2 linked regions of the Macaca mulatta genome follow. The protein of the gene in region 1 binds, or shares a complex with, the protein of each later gene. Links are inferred from orthologs where the notes say so. Each region holds a gene or a part of one and is shown in the gene's direction. Other genes may lie near its edges.

Region 1 (3,806 bases):
CTAACAGCCTTGGGTTCAACATTGTGCTTTATGGTTTGGGTTCTAAGAGAGATTTACTAGAAAGGTTTCGAACCACTATGCTGCAAGATTCCATTCACGTTGTCATCAATGGCTTCTTTCCCGGAATCAGTGTGAAATCAGTAAGTTTCAAAATGTTAAAGGGAAAAACATTATATCCTCTGCCAATTCATGCCTCCACATAAATGAGGATGGAGTATTAAAGAATTTTTGTTTTAGTCTTCACGGTAGTAGGATTGTATAGTGCTTAATACCATGTGTTTGGACTCAGAAGAATCTAGCTTTGAAACCATCTTTGAATGTCCTACGTTGTAACTGACATGTATTAAAACTTAGGAAAATATGTTAGTTTTGTTTACTACACTGAGTATCAGTGGTACTTCTAAAGAAGGGAATTATGGGGTCTTCAGTTTTGTTATAAACTATGAAAATGCTTTATTAGGCAAAAACTCGGGGCCGGGCGCGGTGGCTCAAGCCTGTAATCCCAGCACTTTGGGAGGCCGAGACGGGTGGATCACGAGGTCAGGAGATCAAGACCATCCTGGCTAACACGGTGAAACCCCATCTCTACTAAAAAATACAAAAAAAAAAAACTAGCCGGGCGAGGTGGCGGGCGCCTGTAGTCCCAGCTACTCGGGAGGCTGAGGCAGGAGAATGGCGTAAACCCGGGAGGCGGAGCTTGCAGTGAGCTGAGATCCGGCCACTGCACTCCAGCCTGGGCGACAGAGCCAGACTCCCTCTCAAAAAAAAAAAAAAAAAAAAAAAAAACAAACTACATGCTGTGAAAATGCTTTAAAATGCAACAGGATGTGAAGACTATAGTTTTACAATACATTTATCATAGATCATTTTTATTTCAAATGCTTAATCTCTCTTCCTCATTTGAACATGAAATCTTTTGGGTGCTGGATATTGAGTCATGTAGTATTCCTTTTTAAAAGTGTCTATAGTGTTTGTGTCCTGTTTCCTTTGATAGAACTGTAGTTTTCTAATGTTTCTCATGTTCTTGGGAGCTTTTTCATTTGTTTTTGCTGCCCTCTTATATTACCTATTACGTTGATATCTTTGCTATTCTTTTCTATTTTCTTTTAGCCACAACTTAGGCAAAAAACAATGAATTAGATATAATTCATCGAGTACCAGTAGAATTTTTAAAAGTGATTTTTTAAAACTTTTGGGAAATCCAAATTCATTGTTAATTTATAAAAAAAGGTTTGATTTTCTAGTTGTATATGACAATAAATTGTAATTAATGTGGCACCTCTTGCACATTCATGATATAGGTCCTGAATTCTATAACAGAAGAAGTCCTCGATCATATGGGTACTTTCCGCAGTATACTGGATCAGCTAGACTGGATAGTAAAGAGATTTAAAGAAGGTAACATGAAGTAGATGCTCTGTAGTTTTAGGGTAAAGTTAAGCATATACTTCTACTTATTCATGTATTTATATACATACAGTACAGTTATACATACATATTATATGTATTATATACATACATATACATACAGTATTATTATTATTTTATATATATATATTTTTTGAGACAGTCTCTCTGTTGCCCAGGCTGGAGTGTAGTGGCACCATCATGGCCCACTGCAGCCTTGACCTTCTGGGCTCAAGCAGTTCTCCCACCTCAGCCTCCCAGGTAGCTGAGATCACAGGCGTGTGCCACTGTGCCCAGCTAATTTTGTATTATTTGTGGAGATGAGGTCTCGCTATGTTGCCCTGGATAGTCTGGAACTTCTGGGCTCAAGCAGTCCTCCTGCCTTGGCCTCCCAAAGGGCTGAGATTATAGGTGTGAGCCACCACACCTGGCCCAAAAAGATTATTTTAATAATGGCACTTATCTTGGTGCTCTAAAATAATTTGACCTTTTTCTATGAACCTTTTCTGTGAACTTAACAGGGAAGAAAAATGTTAGTCCCACTTTCTTAAGTTTGTATATCCAAAAGCCTTTTTCTGTTTATAAAACACTCCAGAAGTGCAGTGGCACAATTTTGGCTCACTGCAACCTCTGCCTCCCGGGTTTAAGCAATTCTCCTGCCTCAGCCTCCCAAGTAGCTGGGATTACAGGCATGCACCACCAAGCCCAGCTAATTTATTTCAGAATAATTTTCAGGTTTTGTTTTGCTTGTGTAAAGTGCCTCCACTTGAGCGTTACATCTTTGTCTGATATTTTTATATTGTTTAATGTTTTTATAAAACATTATTTCTTGGCTGGACACAGTGGCTGACGCCTGTAATCCCAGCACTTTGGGAGGCCAAGCTGGGTGGGTCACCTGAGGTCAGGAGTTCGAGACCAGCCTGGCCAATATGGTGAAACCCCGTCTCTACAAAAATACAAAAAAAATTAGCCAGGCATGGTAGCACGTGCCTGTAGTCCCAGCTACTTGGGAGGCTGAGGCAGGAGAAGTGCTTGAGCCTGGGAGGCAGAGGTTGCAGTGAGCCAAGATCATACCACTGCACTCCAGCCTGGGCAATAGAGTGAGACTCTATCTAAAAATAAATAAATAAATAAAACATTATTTCTTTATTCTGTGTATATATCATTACATTGGGATAATTTTATATACTAAGATCTCTGATTCTTTTGGTGTGAATGTTTTGGTTATGTGAGTATGTCAGAAAATTGGAAATAGCATTATATAGTCTCTGATAGTTAATTGCCATTTAATAATGACTAAATTAAGAGAAGTACATGAGAATGCCTAACTGCTTTGATGGATAATTTTATTGATAATGTCAATAATCCTAGCTCTGTTTCCATAGTACTTTTATCTTGTCAATATTCTGGCATGTTCTTTAGTTTTGTCTTCATTTTGTTTCCAACCTGAAAAGCTTTCTGTCCCAAATTTCCTTTCACACTTCTACACCCATTTTACCCACAGTTCTTTATAGAAATGGACAGTATACTTTTTTGTTTTTGGGTTTTTTTTAACACAGTCTTTCTCTCTCACCTAGGCTGGGATCCAGTGGCACAAACACATTTCACTACATCCTAAACCTCCTGGGCCCAAGTGATCCTCCCAACTCAGCCTCCCCATTAGCTGGGACTACAGGCACACACCATCTGCCTGGCTATTGTTAAAATTTTTTGTAGAGATGGGAGTCTCACTGTGTTGCCCAGGCTGGTCTCAAACTCCTAGGCCTCAAGGGATCCGCCTGTCTGGGCCTTCCAAAGTGCTGGGATTAACAGACATGAGCCCAGCCAGACAATATACATTTTTATACCAACTGTACACATTTGAAAACAGGTAGAGTTGATTCTCATTATTCACAAATTCTATAATAACAAATTTTCCTGCTTGCTAACATTTATTATAATCCCAAAATCAATACTCTTGGCACTTTTGCAAAGTGAAACATGCACAGAGTGGCAAAAAGTTTGCATTGCCCAATGTACACATTCTAAGCAGAGGTCAAACAATGCAATGCTTTGCCGTCTTGTTTCAACTCTCATACTATAAACAAGCATCCTTTTCGCAGTCCGTTCAGTGCTATGTTTTTCACATTTTTCTGCTTTTGTGTCGGTGATTTGGCTGTTTAAAATGGCCCCCAAGCATAGTGTTAGAATGCTATCTAGTGTTCCCAAGCACAAGAAGGCTGTGATGTGCCTTGGGGAAAAAATGCCTGTGTATGTAAACTTCCTTCAGTTATAAGTTATAGTGTTCTTGACTGTGGGTTCCGTGTTAATGGATCAACAGTGTACCTTAAAAATAAAGTTGCCCTTAAAAGCCAGGCGCGGTGGCTCACACCTGTAATCCCAGCACTTTGGGAGGCCGA
Region 2 (4,509 bases), on another chromosome or scaffold:
TAAACTCCTGACCTCAGGTGATCTGCCCACCTCAGCCTCCCAAAGTGCTGGGAAAACAGGCAAGAGCCACGACACCCGGCCCAACTCATTTCTTGATAGATACTTGGTTTGCTTCCATCTTTGGGCTGTCGTGAATAATGCTGCTATGAACATTGGTATGCAAATATCTCTTCCAGACCCTGCTTTTAGTTCCTTTGGATATATACCCAGAAGCAGGACTGCGGATCATGGGTAATTCTATGTTTAATTCATGAGGCATGCCATACGGATTCCACAGGACCTTGGGCACTTCTACTATGGATGATGGGGCAGTTTCTTCACTGGCTTCCCAGCCTCCACAACTTCATATCTGCCCCTTCCCTTCCCAGGATCTTTCTAAAATGCACATTTGACTTCACTCCTTTAAAACCCTTCAAGAGCTTTCCATGGCCTTTGGGACAAGTCCAGCCTGCTCAGTTGATGCGCAGGGAACCATCTGTGGTCAGACACCACCCGCCCCCCGCTGCCCCCACCAACCTCTCCGGCCTCATCTCTCTCACCTGAGCCATCACCACTCCACCTTCCTACCCCACGCAGTTTTCTGGGCTGGAATGCCCTTGCAACCAACCACAATCCTTCCATGCCAGCCCAAAGGCTCTGAGTTCTTTTTCTTTTTTTATTTATTTTCTTTTCGTGAGGCAGGGTCTCGCTCTGTCGCCCAGGCTGAAGTGAGGTGGCTCAATCATAGCTCACTGCAGCCTCCAACTCCTGGGTTGCAGCGATCCTTGAGTTCCTCTTCATTAGTTAACTGGAATTCACTGTCTCCTTGTCCATTGCAGTCCACGGCCTTCAGGCACCGCTGGACTGGTATTCAGCACCCTCGATCGACCCTTTCCGTGTCATCTCCTCGCGGGCCTGTGAAGCTCCCAGCGCCAGACCCGAGAGGCTACGTCGAGGTTTGCAGGCAGATCCCCCCAGAGTTCCCGAGGTTACCTGTGATCGCACCCACCCACATTCCAGCCCCTTCCCCACTCCCAAGCCCGCTCCTTAAAGCCCTCATCTCCTCAGCCCGCATCGCTCCTACCGCAAGGGTCCCTCACAGGCTTTGATCCTGGCCCGTATCATGGCCAAGCTGGGCCTCAGTTTCCCCAGATGCAGAGCGACGTCTGTGGACGAGGCCCCTACCCCTTACCGCTGGGGGCAGTTCCCAGGGCGGGTCGCCGCCACGCTGCCGCTCGCAGATCAGACAGGTCCGGATGCCCTTACAACCACATTCCCGAAGGACCTCGGGGGTCTCGGCGGCGGCAGCCGCCATCGCGCCGTCCGGGTGGCCAGTGCGCAGGCGCGGCCGTGGGTGGCCGCTGGGAGTTGTAGTCCGCGCGAGGCGGGGGCACGAGGCCTAGGTTCCGCTTCCTTCCGGTCGTTAACGCCCACGGGCTCGCGCGGCGCCACCTCCTGGGCTCCGTTATCGCGGACGCCAGTACCGGGCTCCAGGAGACGCAGGGGGACGCCAGACGCCGGGGCCGCCGACTGGGTCGGCGCGGGCCGCGCCTCCTCGCCATGGGCCCCCTCTCGGCGCGGCTGCTGATGCAGCGCGGGCGCCCCAAGAGCGACCGGCTGGGGAAGATCCGGAGCCTGGAGTAAGAGCCGGGCAGGGGGCGAGGCTGTGTCCGCGGGGCCGGGGGTCGGAGGGAAGAGCGGGGACCCTCCCCAACGGCCTGCCTGTCCCCGTTATCGCCCTCTGGGTTCGGCAGAGTCGCTCCAAATGTCTTCTTGTTGGGAGATCGTGGCCCTACCCGTTCGCCGCGAGCCCCGAGGGGCCTCATCCCCTGAAGGGAGCCGGGAGAGTTAGGGGCACAGCCTGCAGCTACCATTAGAGGGCCTGGGAAGCACAGAGGAGCCCCCGAAGGATCAGGAAGAGCATCCTAGAGGGGGCTAGGATGCCCCTCAGTCCTAAAGTAGTTGCAGTTTTTTTTTGTTTTTTTTTTTTTAAGTGGTGGGGAGTCGGGAGTAGTGGCGCGCGCTTCTAGTCCCACCTACTCGAGAGGCTGAGGCGGGAGGATCCCTCAGCCCAGGAGATGGAGGCAGCAGTGAGCTGTGATCGCGCCTAGGCGACTGAGTGACGCCCCGTCTCTAAAAATAAAGTAACGAGGGGGTGGGGCGGGGCGGCTGCACTTGTGCGAGAAATGTCAGGTGAAAAAGCCTTCTGAGATAGCTGGGGCAGATTGGTGTGGGGTGCAAAGCCTGCCCTCCCCCTAAGCCTTCTGCCCCCAACTCCAGCCTGTCAGGGTTGGAGCTGCTCTCCGAGCACTTGGACCCCAAGCTCCTGTGCCGCCTGACGCAGCTGCAGGAGCTGGACCTATCTAACAACCAGCTGGAGACGCTGCCGGACAACCTGGGCCTGTCCCACCTGCGTGTCCTCCGCTGCGCCAACAACCAGCTGGGGGATGTCACTGCCTTGTGCCAGTTCCCCAAGCTCGAGGAACTCAGCCTGGAGGGGAACCCCTTCCTGACGGTAAGTGGGGGCCTCCCACCAGCCTCATACTGGGGGCCAGGACTCTGTTGGGCTCAGGCTCAGCATCTCCTGAGCCACTGCCGTTCACCCCCTCTTCCCCAGGTCAATGACAACCTGAAAGTCTCCTTTCTCCTGCCCACACTCCGAAAGGTCAATGGCAAGGATGCGTCCTCAACTTACTCTCAGGTGGAGAACCTGAATCGGGAGCTGACCAGCAGGGTAAGGGGATGAGAGGATTATTGTGTGCTTGGGAGCTATAGGCGGCATCAGGAAAGTGATGGAATTGGACATCAGGAGGATGCGAGGAGGGTGACTGATAGGGGCTCTTTGCCCTAACAGCCCCTAGCCTGATGTGCTTTTTTTTTTTGGAGATGGAGTCTCACTGCATCACCCAGACTGGAGTGCAGTGGTGCGATCTTGGTTCACTGCAACCTCTGCCTCCCAGGTTCAAGTGATTTTCCTGCCTCAGCCTCCCAAGTAACTAGGATTACAAACACCTGCCACCACGTCCAGCTAATTTTTTGTATTTTTAGTAGAGACAGGGTTTCACCATGTTGGCCAGGCTGGTCTCAAACTCCTGACCTTAGGTGATCTGCCCGCCTTGGCCTCCCAAAGTGCTGGGATTACCGGTGTGAGTCCCCGCACCCGGCCTGACTCTTATAAGTAGCGCTTTCTGGGTTTTTACTTTCCTTTTTTTTTTTTTTTTTTTTTTTTAGAGACAGGGTCTCACTCTGCTGCCCATGTTGAAGTGCAGTGGTGTGATCATAGCTCACTGCAGCATCCAACTCCTGGGCTCAAGCAATCTTCCTGCCTTAGCCTCCTCAATAGCTGGGGCTTTAGGCACATGTCTGGATCATTTTAAAATTTTTTGTAGAGATGGGATCTTGCTATATACCCCAGGCTCCAACTCCTGGCCTCAAGCGATGCTTCTTCCTCAGCCTCCCAGTGGCTGGGACTACAGGTCCCTGGGCTGTTTCGGGGTGGGGTGGGGGTGGGGTGTGTGTGTGTGTGTCTGTGTGTGTGGTTTATGAGGCTGTGATTCCAGGAGGCTTCCAGCAGGTGGCAGGATGGAGGGCTGGGTCCGGAGGAGCTGGGGTGGGCCGGGCCTGGATCTGCTCCCTCTTGCACCAGGTCACAGCTCACTGGGAGAAGTTCATGGCCACACTGGGCCCTGAAGAGGAGGCTGAGAAGGCCCAGGCAGACTTTGTGAAGTCAGCTGTCAGGGATGTCCGCTACGGGCCTGAGTCCCTCAGCGAGTTCACCCAGTGGCGGGTACGTCCCTGTCCCGATGTGCAGGGAGTCACTGGCTCTCGTATCCCTTGCCTGGAGGTCCCTGGGTGTGAAGGGCTAAGGGGCTGTGGGAGTGGGGTGAGTCAGGGTGGGCAGCCCTGTTGACTGGAGAGGCCCTTCCCCAACTCTGGAAGCACAGGCTCCCCCTGACTATGCATTGGCAGGGCTGGGGGCGCCTGGGACTGTGCCCAGCTTCCTGATGGCCTGGCCCCACCCAGGTGCGGATGATCTCTGAGGAGCTGGTGGCCTCCAGTAGGACCCAGGTGCACGAGGCTGACAGCCCAGAGAAGCCCCCAGAAGCTGGAGCTGCCCACAAGCCCAGGGTGAGTGCAGCTCCTAGGGCTCTGAGGCTGGCCCAGCCCCTCCTGCCTGGAGAAGCTGCAGGAGACCAAGGTGACCTGGGCATGGGCCCAGGAAGCACCCCAGGCCCTGACTCGCTCCCTAGACGACCCTGGGCCAGCCTGGGCCTCCTACACCCACAGTGAGGTGGGGTCCAGCCTGTGATGGGCAGGAAGGAAGCCCCTGGCAGATGGGCCCATGGTCACAAGGCCCCCTCCACAGGCCAGACTGGCGGCCTTGAAACGGCCAGACGATGTCCCACTCAACCTCTCTCCCAGCAAGCGGGCGTGTGCCTCCCCGTCGGCCCAGGTGGAGGGCGGCCCTGTGGCAGGCTCCGATGGCAGCCAGGTGAGCTGAGGTGGCAAGGAGCAGGTGGCAGATGAGTT

The links.
Region 2: the proteins of ORC2 (region 1) and LRWD1 are in contact, whole or in part, in a crystal structure (PDB 8SIU), measured with the Rattus norvegicus proteins. The link is inferred for Macaca mulatta from reciprocal best matches to the Homo sapiens genes ORC2 and LRWD1. Residues at the interface, in NP_001012003.1 of Rattus norvegicus: Val11, Pro12, Ser13, Val14, Gln15, Phe16, Val17, Gly18, Asp19, Val22, Leu23, Ser24, His25, Ile26, Leu27, Asp28; in XP_038945348.1 of Rattus norvegicus: Pro262, Leu263, His264, Phe265, Leu266, Gln267, Cys268, Ser270, Asn273, Ser274, Pro275, Leu320, Val321, Leu322, His323, Lys324, Tyr325, Lys326, Leu367, Val369, Gly372, Phe373, Cys374, Pro596, Pro598, Val599, Ala600, Val605, Ile630.

What each region holds. Positions count from the first base shown.
Region 1 is NC_133417.1:106,027,221-106,031,026, reverse strand, and holds part of ORC2 (origin recognition complex subunit 2), read left to right. Parts: intron 1-7; coding exon 8-140; intron 141-1,301; coding exon 1,302-1,398; intron 1,399-3,806. UniProt on the Homo sapiens protein: Component of the origin recognition complex (ORC) that binds origins of replication. DNA-binding is ATP-dependent. The specific DNA sequences that define origins of replication have not been identified yet.
Region 2 is NC_133408.1:49,716,749-49,721,257, forward strand, and holds the start of LRWD1 (leucine-rich repeat and WD repeat-containing protein 1), read left to right. Parts: upstream 1-1,409; 5' UTR 1,410-1,539; coding exon 1,540-1,619; exon of another isoform or gene 1,620-1,637; intron 1,638-1,973; exon of another isoform or gene 1,974-2,123; intron 2,124-2,259; coding exon 2,260-2,494; intron 2,495-2,596; coding exon 2,597-2,713; intron 2,714-3,625; coding exon 3,626-3,766; intron 3,767-4,002; coding exon 4,003-4,107; intron 4,108-4,345; coding exon 4,346-4,471; intron 4,472-4,509. Other genes in the region: ALKBH4 (alpha-ketoglutarate-dependent dioxygenase alkB homolog 4), read right to left, coding at 1,172-1,294. UniProt on the Homo sapiens protein: Required for G1/S transition. Recruits and stabilizes the origin recognition complex (ORC) onto chromatin during G1 to establish pre-replication complex (preRC) and to heterochromatic sites in post-replicated cells.